2 linked regions of the Caenorhabditis elegans genome follow. The protein of the gene in region 1 purifies or fractionates together with the protein of each later gene. This does not show direct contact. Each region holds a gene or a part of one and is shown on either strand. Other genes may lie near its edges. The genes, in order: ncs-2 and F56A8.3.

Evidence for each region.
Region 2: the proteins of ncs-2 (region 1) and F56A8.3 fractionate together in Caenorhabditis elegans (co-fractionation; one large-scale study listed by BioGRID). This does not show direct contact.

Annotation. Positions count from the first base shown.
Region 1 is NC_003279.8:10,032,780-10,036,379, reverse strand, and holds ncs-2 (Neuronal calcium sensor 2), read left to right. Parts: upstream 1-1,563; 5' UTR 1,564-1,600; coding exon 1,601-1,711; intron 1,712-1,781; coding exon 1,782-2,054; intron 2,055-2,158; coding exon 2,159-2,347; 3' UTR 2,348-3,100; downstream 3,101-3,600.
Region 2 is NC_003281.10:13,254,765-13,263,182, forward strand, and holds F56A8.3 (Disease resistance R13L4/SHOC-2-like LRR domain-containing protein), read left to right. Parts: upstream 1-2,115; 5' UTR 2,116-2,139; coding exon 2,140-2,333; intron 2,334-2,390; coding exon 2,391-2,487; intron 2,488-2,537; coding exon 2,538-2,823; intron 2,824-5,826; exon of another isoform or gene 5,827-5,868; coding exon of another isoform or gene 5,869-5,875; intron 5,876-5,974; coding exon 5,975-6,124; intron 6,125-6,879; coding exon 6,880-7,099; intron 7,100-7,145; coding exon 7,146-7,311; intron 7,312-7,365; coding exon 7,366-7,492; intron 7,493-7,677; coding exon 7,678-7,772; 3' UTR 7,773-8,126; downstream 8,127-8,418. Other genes in the region: F56A8.9 (CAB39 protein), read left to right, coding at 1-83, 139-236, 284-403, 891-1,096, 1,417-1,534.

The sequences.
Region 1 (3,600 bases):
ACACACTTCCAAGCATTTTCGGACCAGAAGAGCGATTCCTTAGAGTTTGTCTAGGCATCTGTTTCCGGATGTGAAACACACGTGCCAAATTTTTCTTTTATGATTTATTGAAATTTGAATTTTTATACCTTAAAAATCTAAATTTGTTGTTCTCTCTATTAATTCGATGGTCTTCATTTTTGTTCACAGTCAAGTTCATTTTGCAATATTCCTTGCTTTATCGAAATTTCCTTGAGTTTGTCTTCTTATCACACCTCTTCTCTCCAACACTTTTTATGTGTGCCAACGTGGCCGTAGGTCTATCACCATCGTCCGTCATTTTGCATGCGTCATCGAGCACTACCAGAAACTCGAAAGAGAGAGAGAGAGAGATTGATGCAAAGACACGGCGCCGAAAGTGGCGCTTATTAGCAATTCTGGTGTATGTATGTATGTATTTCTGTGTGTGTATGTAGTACTGGCCATGGTGAGAATATGTGTATATGTGTGTGGTTGTGCTCATCTGAATATCCATTTCACATCAGCAGCCATCGTGTCTTTCACACTTTCCCATTTCGAACATTTCTCTTTTTGAAATGGAATTCTTTATGTTTCCTCAAAAGCTTCAAGTGTCAAGTTATAAGACTCGAGTTGCACATACAATATGCCTCATATTTCTAGAAATTGAGATGGTTTATGATGACATCTAATTTCGGGTTTTCTCGATGGAAAGAGGACAAAATTATAATGTAAAACCAAAATATACTTGCTCGTCGAGCAGACGATATTGGTTATTGATAAGGACAAAAATTTGAGTCAATTCACTTTTCGAACTATCTTAAGTTGAAATGCGACCCACAATTATTTCTGATCCTTGCTTTTTCGAGGTGGGTACAGGTCGGTAATGTCGAGGAATGACAAAGGTTTACCACAAAGTTAATTTCTTGATAAGTTTGTAAGTGTTACTTCAATGTATTCTAGACTATAGGATTGTTTGTTGACTTTTGCATAGCTACTGCTAACTAGTCAATAAACTGAAGATTCGTAGACTAGATTGAACCATATTTGGTAGATTCTGGCAGTTTCACCAAACCTCTAGATCTATAGATTTGGATTACTGTTATTGTTCATGTTTCTGCGACTTCTTCCTCTTTCATCTTCCTGCTGCGTCTCGTCTGCTTTAATGATTTCTCCTAAACACTCATCCGTCACTCACAACACTCACTCCTCACGCACGCATACACCATCATCGATTTGTAGGCTTCCATGAGCGAAGAGACAGACGACAGTGAGACGGCAGTGAGCGGGCGCGTCTGACGGCGCCGTTTAGTGCATATAACATGCTCTTCATCATATTCTTTTTCGCCCCATATCAATTCAGGGGCGCCTCCTTTTCCTCTTTACCACCCCGCTCCTCGTTATTTTTATTATTCATTCAATTCCCTTGTCTCTCTCTCTCTCTCTCTGTATCTCATTTTCTTTCCATTTCTGACTATATCTACATAGCTTTATGTATCATTTTCTTATCAATTGCCTTCTTAAAAATATTCTGTTTTGTTACATGAATTTCTCGTTTTTTTGCAGCCCTACACTACACCTAGAAGACGAATAAGCCCAAACCATGGGAATCAAGGGTTCCAAGCCAAAACTCTCCAAAGAGGATTTGGAGTTTTTGAAAAAGAACACAAATTTCACCGAAGAGCAGATCAAAGAATGGTATAAAGGATTTGTGGTAAGTTTTTCGTTTTTTGGCTTGAAACGATAAAAGCTGACATGATTCTGTAAAATTTTGCAATTTTCAGCAAGATTGTCCGAAAGGCCACTTAACCAAGGAGCAGTTCATAAAGGTGTATAAGGATTTCTTCCCGTCAGGTTCTGCAGAAGGATTCTGTGAACATGTATTCCGAACATTCGACACGGATAACTCGGGTTTTATCGACTTCAAAGAATTTTTATTGGCAATTAATGTGACGAGTTCCGGAACGCCCGAGCAGAAACTTGAATGGGCTTTCCGTATGTACGATATTGATGGAAATGGTACGATAGACGAGAAGGAAATGATCAAGATTATTGAGGTGAGCTTTTTTCAATCAGAAACAAAAGAAAACGGAATTATTTCCCTTCTTTGAAAAGTGTCAAGTGTCACTTTTAATCGTCATCCTAAAAATAAATTCTTCAGGCCATCTATGAAATGCTCGGCCCAGAAGTGACAAAATCTGCTGACGACTCTCCAAGAAAGAGAGCCAAGATGATCTTCGAGAAGATGGATGTTAACAATGATAAAGAGCTGACATTGAAGGAATTCGTTGACGGCTGCCTTGCTGATAAGGAGCTCTTCCAAATTTTGACCAATGAAGTCAAGAAGTAAACGAACTTTCTTTCAAGTTTTTTGCCCTAAAATTGTTTTGTCTAATATTATTTGCTCTTAATTCTCTCACGATCCGCTGTGATTCCTTCCTGAAGTTCGTCCTCCTCGTCTCCCTGTCTCCCGCGAAGCATTCCAGCCGTCTCCCCATAATCCCGGAAAGTTTATTTCTTCTCCACAGACACACACACTTCGTTGCCATTAATTTTTGCTCCCTACTTACCAGCCTGTAGTAGTGTTTATTTAATATCGACCACAGCTTCTTTTTTCTTTATTCGTCGTTTTTGTGCTCTCTTCTTTTTCATTTTCTCCTTCTTCCGTCTAACCACAGACTCAAAAAATTATCACTAATCCATTACTAGACGACGGATTAGAGTCTTCTCCTCTCTGCCTTTCAAATTCTTTCTCTATACTCCTTCCCAAATCCCTTCAATAATCGATCGATGTGTGTACCTAGGTACCGTACCCCATGTAGCTTTTTTGCCTCTTGTCACTCCACTTTCCTTAACAGCTCGGTTAAAACTCAAAGCTCTTGCACTTTTCCTTTATGCGAAATCAAATTTTTATATTATTATTATTATTATTTGAAAATTTGAATAATAAGAAAATAAGTTGTATGCGGTAAATTATTATTTTTAATTCTTTTCTTCATTTTTTTCCTTCTCTCGTTCCACCTCTCTTGACTTCATTTGTCTCCATTCTCAGTTTTCACCCATATATAATTTCATATAAAATAAAATCTGTGTAAATTTTAAACCAAGTTTCATTGGCTTTCTCTCGAATTTCGATTTTCGCATCATTTCAATTTCAATTTCACTGCACACAGAACCCTGGTCCCAAGATGTTAACCTATTTGCCGAGTCTCAAATGGCCACATAGGTAATTCAATCTAATTTTCCCGAGCTCGCCCTCCTCGTCTTGTCGTCCGCGTGTGCTCATCATCGTCCTTCAAATCCGATTACGTGGTGTGGCAACAACGAGACGAAGCATAAGAAGTAGAAGAAGAAAAGGAAGAAGCTTCACATGATCAACGTCTTTTATTTCGAAACATATACGGTAATAGGCCCGAAAGACAGTCGAGACCGATTTGTCAGGGTCAATTTTTTTGTTGCTCTTTTTCTTATATTTTGTAGCTCCAAGTGCCAACATCATAAATACCGAATGCGAAGTGTCTAGAACCTCTTCATTCTTCTGAATCTCTCCTTCTCTCCCACTTTCGCCTTCTGGTCGTTCATGTTTCATTTATCAGCCAGTTT
Region 2 (8,418 bases), on another chromosome or scaffold:
GGAGAAAACAGGCGAAACGCATTCGGATCCAGCTAAATTGAAAACGAAAGAAGCGCCCGAGCATATTGATCACAAGAAATTATGTTAGTTTTTTGGTTTTTTTTTAATTCAATTTAAAAAAACGTTAGATTATTTCAGTCACCGAAAGCTTCAAACAACGGAGAATCGAGCATACGACCGCAATTGAGTCGATTAAAAAAATTGGAAAAGACAAGCGGAGATTGTTTTTGGAAGATGTAAGAGTATTATTAAATGTGACCAAATTTATCTCAATGTGCTTCAGGTTTTGAAAAATGTGCAAAACCTGCTGAAAGAGTCGCGAGAAGCTTTGGAACGGACCGCCCATCGATCGGATTCGCCGTTCCCACACGGTAGTGAGCTGCTCAAGGATGCACTTTCCAAGGTGAGTTTTTGAAACTTATATTACCCAGACGTGAAATTTGCCAATTTTGGCGCCAAAAGTACGGTAGCCGGTCTCGAAACGACCAATTTTTGCCAAAAATTGTGTGCTCCTTTAAAAGGAGCTTTTATCAATTTTTAACAAACCGTGAGAAAAACAAGGAAAAATCGATGAAAATTTTCTTTGCTACAAAATTTTGAGATTACAGCACTCTTTAAAGGCGCACACTTGTTTAGAATTTAACAAAAAATTTCGTGTCGAGACCTGCCACCGTACTTTTGCCTAATGATTTTTGAATTGAAATTTTTTAGTTGGAATGATGTTGGAAATATTTTTGAAGTTGAAAAAAATGGTTTTGATTTTTTTTTTTTTTTGAAAAAATACTACTTCCTAACGAGACCCAAGTATTGGGGTGGAGTTTTTCGTTGAAGCGCGATTGAACTTCAATTTGAAAAGACACATTTTCTCACAAATATGATACATTTTACAGCTCCACGAGAACATCGCCTTCTTCACAGACCTCTCACTAGCGTTCTCGAAATTTTTCGAAACGAAAATCCAAAAGGATCGGAAATTGAAGACTTTGATCGTCTGGGCCTACAATTATTCTATCAAAACTGGCATTTTTGATGAGGAAACTGAAAAGAAAGTGCAACTAATGGCTCAACAACACGAGTTTATTGAGAAAAATGAAAAGTATGAGAGTTCTTGGCTGGACCCGGTCTCGACACGACTTATAAGAGAAAAGGTGTGCGCCTTTAAAGAGTACTGTAATCTCAAACTTTTTTATCTGGGATTTTTTTTTAATCGATTTTCATAGTGTTTTCTTTCAATTCGTTGGAAATATAGTGTTTTAATATTAAATTTGAATTTGTTAATCAAAAAATTATGAAAATTCAGCTGAAACGAAAGTTAGGAACTACAGTACTCTTTAAAGGCGTACTACTCTTCGCAATTGAAACAAATTTGTCGTGTTGAGACCGTGATTTGGCTCAAAAAATGTGTTTTTTTTAAAGATTTTTCAATTCCTACGATAAGGATCGCGTTAAAGAAGATTTAGAAGCTGAGGAAATGAAAAGAAAAGAGAAAAAATCGAACAAAGCCGAGAAGAAGCAACCGAAAGGAGAGTTATAATTTTTTTTTCTTCAATTTTTGTGTTTTTTTTTCCTGTTTATAACCGAACTCGTCAAATTTGGCCATAATATTTTGATTTTATTTGTCATATATTTAGTTATTTAGGTTGAGTACAATTCGATTTTCAAGGTGCTATTTAATAATAATTATAAAGATGTTTTTTTTTTTCAATTCAGTTTTTAAAATATGGTTTTCAACCCATAGTTTATATCAACTATCAAAATATTCCATTATTTTTACTTACAAAACTGCAATTTGGAAAATTAATTTGGGCCCTATTGGGTTTATTTGTTTCAAAACCAATTCATAAATTTGAACTTCCCTCCAAAATGCCACAACGACGCTCCGAAATTCCGCATACGCATGTTGTTTATCGTAAATTCACACAAATTAGTTTGCTGATTTTTCTTCCTATTTTCTTTTTTTTCCCCAAGTTCAGAGGTTATACATTTTATTCAAAGCTTTCTCCAGATTTATTTTAATATTTTATCGTCTCTTCTTTCACATGCACACTTTTACGTTACCATCCCAACAATGCCGCGTGTCGAAAAATTTTTTTTCGCAATTTTTTAAATTTCTAGGGAATTTCTCTGTGTGAAACTACAATGTCATCGCATAAATATAGTCTGACGGAGCTCAAAAACTTGCAAGAAGATGATGAGTTGGATTTATCGGCAAGCGGAATTCAAGAATTCCCCAATGCAATCGTCCAACTGCCACGGTTGACGAAATTGGATCTGAGCTCAAATGCAATCACTTTCTTGCCGGAATCTTTCTGCAAGATGACTAAGCTTATTCGGTAAGAGTTTTAAGCTGAAAATTTTTGTATATTTTAATTTAATTTTTCCCTTTTAAGGTTAGACTTCGGAAGTTGCCAGCTTCATCATCTCCCTGATGGAATCGGGCTCTTGACAAGCTTGCAGCACTTGAACCTTTATAACAATCAAATAGAGGTATTTAAAAAATCGGCTAAGGCATGTAGAAATCAATCAATATTTTCCAGGACTTGCCGCTCTCGTTCGCCAACTTAAAATCCTTGAAGTGGCTGGATTTGAAGAAAAATCCGCTCAACTCGAAGCTCGCCGCCATCGCAGGAAACTGTGGGACTGATGCCGAGTGTAAGCAGGCTGCCAAGCAAGTCGTCGACGTTTATATGGGCGAGCAGAAGAAGGCCATCGATAGCCTGAAAGCCCAGGAAGCTAAGCATAAGGCCAAGGTGCAGAAGGCCCAGGAAGAGGAGAGAATGAAGAAGAATCAGGAGAAAAAGGAGAAGGCGGCGGCTAAAAAGGGTACATTTGCAGGAAAAAAAACTATAGAAATATTCTGGAATTTGAGATATCAGAGCCCGTTTTCCATTAATAACGCATTTTCAGAATTTCCGGAAATTCTGCAGTTTCCTGGATGATTTTCTCAATTTTACAGGAAAAAATGATCAAATTTTGACATTTTCTTTAAATATGGCGAGATAACTAGCCATAATATAATTGTTAAAAAATTAGTTAAATTTTGCAAAAATTACATAATCATCCGTTTTTTCTTTAACATGGTAAGAAATCTGGCTATTCTGGGAGAAATTCACTTTAAAAATACCAAAATTGGCTTAAAAATCGATAGTTCAACCGAAAACTGTCAGAAAAGTACTTTTAAAAGTGACACAAAAACTGAGAATTTTCAATTAATATATGTATTTGTATATTAATTGAAATTTCTCAGCTTTTGTGTCATTTTTCTGGCAGTTTTCGGTGGAATTATCGATTTTTAAGCCAATTTTGATTTTTTTAAAGGCAAATTTCCTCCAGACTGGCTAGTTTTATCGCCATGTTAAAGAAAAAACGGATGATTATGTAACTTTTGCAAATTTTAACTAATTTTTAAACAATTATATTATGTCAATTAATATTCACGAATATTATACTTTGAATACAGAGGATAAAATTGAAGGAGCAGGTGGCGGATAAAGGCACACACACAGCATCTGTCAATTTCTTGCTCTCTCTCTCTCTCTTCCTTTTTCTCGTCGTCATTTTCTATTCCTTTTGTGTTCAAATCCTTCCCCCTTTCACTATATACGAAGACGACGCCGCCTGTGAGCATCTGGAAAGAGCACGCAACTATTGGAGACATAGAGAAGCTCGAGACCTCCGTTTGTGGCAGACCCCACTCGTCGTCCTCCTCCTCAGCATTTTCTCATCGTTTTTGACGGCGATGCTTCTTCGTTGGAGGTGTCGGATTTCTTGTTATCACGTTGTTTTAAGCATGTTTTCTGATGGAATATGAGTTCGCGTCGTAAAATGATTTTTTGCAAAAAACTGCAAATTCGATTTGAAAATTCCCATTATTTGAAACAATTTCTGCAGGAGAACCACATTGACGATGAATCACTTTTCATTTTGGTTCCGTTGTGAGCTGATGGGAATTGAATCGTCGTATCGTAGTGACCACTGTGACTGAGATCGTGGCGAGACCCACTTTAAAATAACGTACAAATTTTTTTTCAAAATTACGATACCCATGTTCATTTTCTAATTTTTCATCTGGTTGAACTGCTAAGGTCGACTGCACTACTTGCAGTCCGATTGCACAACTGACCACAACCAACCACGTACGTTTTGTGTGTGTGTATGTGTATGTGAAAAATGAGACAGTGCACGGATCAATAGAGACGCAGACACTTTGAAAAAGCGCCTGTCCGACCGGTGACCCCCCTCTCCTCTTTTCTCTGTTTAGTTTTTAAAACTAAGCGATTGGATAGTCAGTGTTGTTATTGTGGCTGTTTTGCAGTTCGGAACGTGTGAATACCTGTTCTTCGCCGGTTTCCAGTTGATAATCCTTAGGTTTTTCTGCAGACATGGTATTTTTAGATATAATATTTTTATTTTTAATACCTATATTTTTTCATGGAAAGTGAAATGGAGCTTCTTTTGAGAATCTATTTTTTTTCATTTTCATTTTAAAAAAGCAGAATGCTGTATTTAGCCTTGTAAATCTACGGGATCTCTGTTGCCTCGGCAGGTAATCTTGGCCATTTTTCAGAGCATTTATTGGCGATGAGTGCTCTAGCAAGATATATCTATCTGTATCTAGCTAGATCTTGCTAGAGCAGTCATCACCAATAAATGTTCTGCAAAAAGGTCAAGATTACCTGCAGAGACAACCTAGATCCCGTAGATTTACAAGGAAGTAGTGGCTGTCTTCCCATTATCTCATCAGCAATCTTCCAATACCTTTCCAATTGATGACTGTCCAACTAGCAACATATCGGATTTACCTACCTACTTACCTGTTAGTACCTCACATCATGGATGGGCGGCAATCGCCGTCCGGCAAATTTTTTGGTCGATAAATTCGGCAATTCGACACAATTGCCGATTTGCCGGAAATGTTTAGAAGGATTTTTTTTATCAGACGGAAATCCTTAAAATTGTGTCTTTTTGAAATTTTTTCCCATTTTCTTTAGATATTTTCATAGAATTTTCTTACTTTTCAAAATAGATGTAAGAGCATTCATAGGATGCGTAGAATTTTGCCGATTGAAATTGAAATTCTGAAATTTCCAAAAAAAAAATAGCGCAAAACCCCCAATTTGCCAGTTTGCCGATTTGCCGAAAATTTTAATTTCGGGAATTTGCCGATTTGCCGGAAATTTCAATTCTGAGAATGTGCCGATTTGCCGAAAATTTAAATTCCGGGAATTTGCCGATTTGCCGGAAATTTTCAATTTCGGCAATTTCCCGATTTGCCGGAAATTTTCAATTTCGGCAATTTGCCGATTTGGCTGAAAAATATTCAGTGTTCAATTGACGCAAACTGTAATAATCGAAAAGCTATTGGTATTTATATTCTCCAGTTGAAATAAATATATTTTGTTTGACCTACAAGTTTTTGATCTACTGCCAGTCTTTCGAACCGCGTCTACCAAAAAGGAGCGGAACAAAAAAAGATGATACAAATTCTTCCGTCACTTCTTTTCCCGTCGAACTTTTTCTTTTTGATTGACACTTTTTTTTTTGAAATTAGATTTTTGATCTTTTTAGTTGAAGAAATTCGAGTAGTACGCCGGCTTTATCACAATATTTTTTCTTAACAAACGTCATATTTTTCTTAATATTTACTATAAAAGTTGTAAAACCTACGTGGATGACCTCTGTGATACGTTTGCCTCGTTGTTTTTTTTGTTTGTCGAATGTTCTTTGATTGTTGATGTCTTTTTTATTTATTTTTTCGCTCGCCTCTTACTTTTTTTGTTGATAATTTTCTGTAGATCACCCAAATATTTACGTTTTTTTTTTCAGTTTTCTCCTTCCCACTCAAACATTACGATTCCGAAGAACAGGATGGCTAGTAAGTTTTGGAAATTTTTTAATGGACGGGCTCTGAGCAAATTCTTCAAAAATTTCAAAAAAAAATTGATTCCACACTTTTAATCCAAAAATTTTCCAGAGAAAGACGCCAAGCAGCAGCGCGAAACTGTCAACGCCGCTTCTCACAAGAACAACCACTCCCAGCAGCCAAAATCGCAGAAGAAGGAGCCGCATCCGAAGAAGAATGAGCAGAAGAAGACGGAGCAGCCACGTGGATTCTTCAGAAAATGTAAAAAAATCTGAGAAATTTTTATATTTTTCGACATTTTCAAGCGAAACACCGAGCCGATATCCCTTTGTGTAGATTTACGAGCTCGTGTACTATGCGTGGGCAAGATTTAACTGATTTTCTTTATATTTTAGATTGTCAATATTTGCCAATTTAACATGTTAAATGCAAAAAAAGTTAGCGAAAAACTGCAAAATCCTGCAAGAAAAATGGATTCAAGCTTGCCCGCGCGAGCTCGTAAATCTACACAAATCTTAAAGGGACATTGAGAAAACAATTTGTTTTCCAAGCCTACCAACGTCATATATTTCTTATCAATGCTCGGTATGATTACGTTGAATAAGCAACCACGTTATTTTTCAGTATTTCTAGCTTAAAACTGCAAAAAAAAACGTCTAGAATGCTGGAAAAAGGTATTCAAAATTCAGAAAACCACATTTAAAAAAAAAGTAAAATTTTGATTTTTTGAATTACCGCGCTTGTGTCGCTAAACTCCGCCCATAAAACCGTGCCGCACTTTTGTTTTTTTCAATTTCGACGCAAATTAATTGACACTTTTTTCGCTAAAAATTTGAAAAAACAGCACAAAAAAGCCGAAGTGCGGCACGGTTATATGGGCGGAGTTTAGAGACAAAAGCGCGGTAATTCAAATGAGGAAAATTGGCAACAATTTCCATTCTTTCTCTATAGCTTTCTAAAAAATTCGAAGTTCGATGCACCATGAATTTTAGTCAAATTTAATGATATTTTTTCAGTGTTCGGATTCGTCTGGTCATGCGTCTTCTACCTGACAATCGTCGTCGCAACATCGAGCACCGTTGCAATCGCGCTCGACTGCAAGGGCCTCGGATCACCGATTCCTGGAACTGCTCCACTGTGCAAGGATCTTACATTGATGGCGACTGGAAACAAACCATCTGCCGCATTTGTTAAGAACACCAGAGCCGCCTACGGATCAGTCTTGCAAGGATATCAGTGAGAATTTGAAGAATCCCATAAAAATTTTGATAGTTTTTTTCAGCAACCAAGTCAAGCCACACGTTGCTCCAGTTCAAGCCGCTGTCAGCAAAAAATGGAAGCAGTTTGCCAAGTCTGATGTTGGAGGAAAAGTCGAAAAGATTGCTATGAATATTCACGCTTGGATTGTGGATAAATGGGTCAAAATTCAGAGATTCGTTCAACAGACGGTATATTCTTTGATACAGAGGTTTAACAAATTATATAAATATCACAATTTTCAGTGGAACAACGTTGCGGCTTGGTGGAAGAAGAACGGGCAAAAACAGTTTGGTCCAGCTCTTGAAGGATTCGTACTTGGAGTCAAGATGGTTTTCCAAGTCGTTGCTGATGCTCTTCGCAGTGTTGGAGGTGCGGAATTTCGCAATTTTAGCTTCAGAACTACGGTAGCCGGTCTCGAAGCGAATTTTGCAAGTACAGTAATCCTTATGGGCGCACACATATTTGCACTTGAAAAAAATCGGACCTGCTACCGTATTTTCTGAGCAAAAATCGCAACTTATTAAAAATAATATCTCTAATTCCACTTTTTTCAGCTCTATTAGTCCATTTCTTCGCTCGCGCCAAGACTTTCTTCGTTGCCTTCGCCGATGGTGGATTCAATGCTGCAATGAACACTTTGAACCACTAGAACCCACACATTTCATGATCAAGTCTCAATTCTTTGTTCTGAAAGTGTTGTTTATTCTCCTCTCCTCTCTCTCCTCCTGCCCACTACGGTTATCGTCCCTTCAAAAAATCGATAAATTTACTCGTAGTTATCCACGTTTCCTCGAATTTAGTTGATTTTTGTAGATCATTTTTCTCTAAAAATCGAATCCCCCGCCCCGCCCCCGCCTCCACCTTTCCAATATATTTTATTTATTTTCACTACGTCTTCTTACTGGTGTTTTTCCGTTTTTTTTGTTGTAGTTGCGGTTTGTTTCGGATCGCACACAATTTGTTTCCTCAGTATTTCATTTAATTTATATATGAAAATAATTATATTCACTGGTTTTTCAATTGTTTTTGGTATTTTGTCCCTTGAACTATATTATGTTACAGTTGGAAAATACGGGACCCGAGGTCTCGGCACGACAATTAAATTCGAAGAAGTGTGCGCCTTGAAAGAGACTACTGCGGATTTTTTTTTGTTTTTCACAAGAATTTTTTTAAAAAATTAAAAACGGGATATTTATATAATTCGATAGAAATTCTGGAACAACGAAATTTCGAAACTACAGTACTCTTAAAAGGCGCACACCCCTTTGCAGTGAACGAAAATCCGTCGTTTCGAG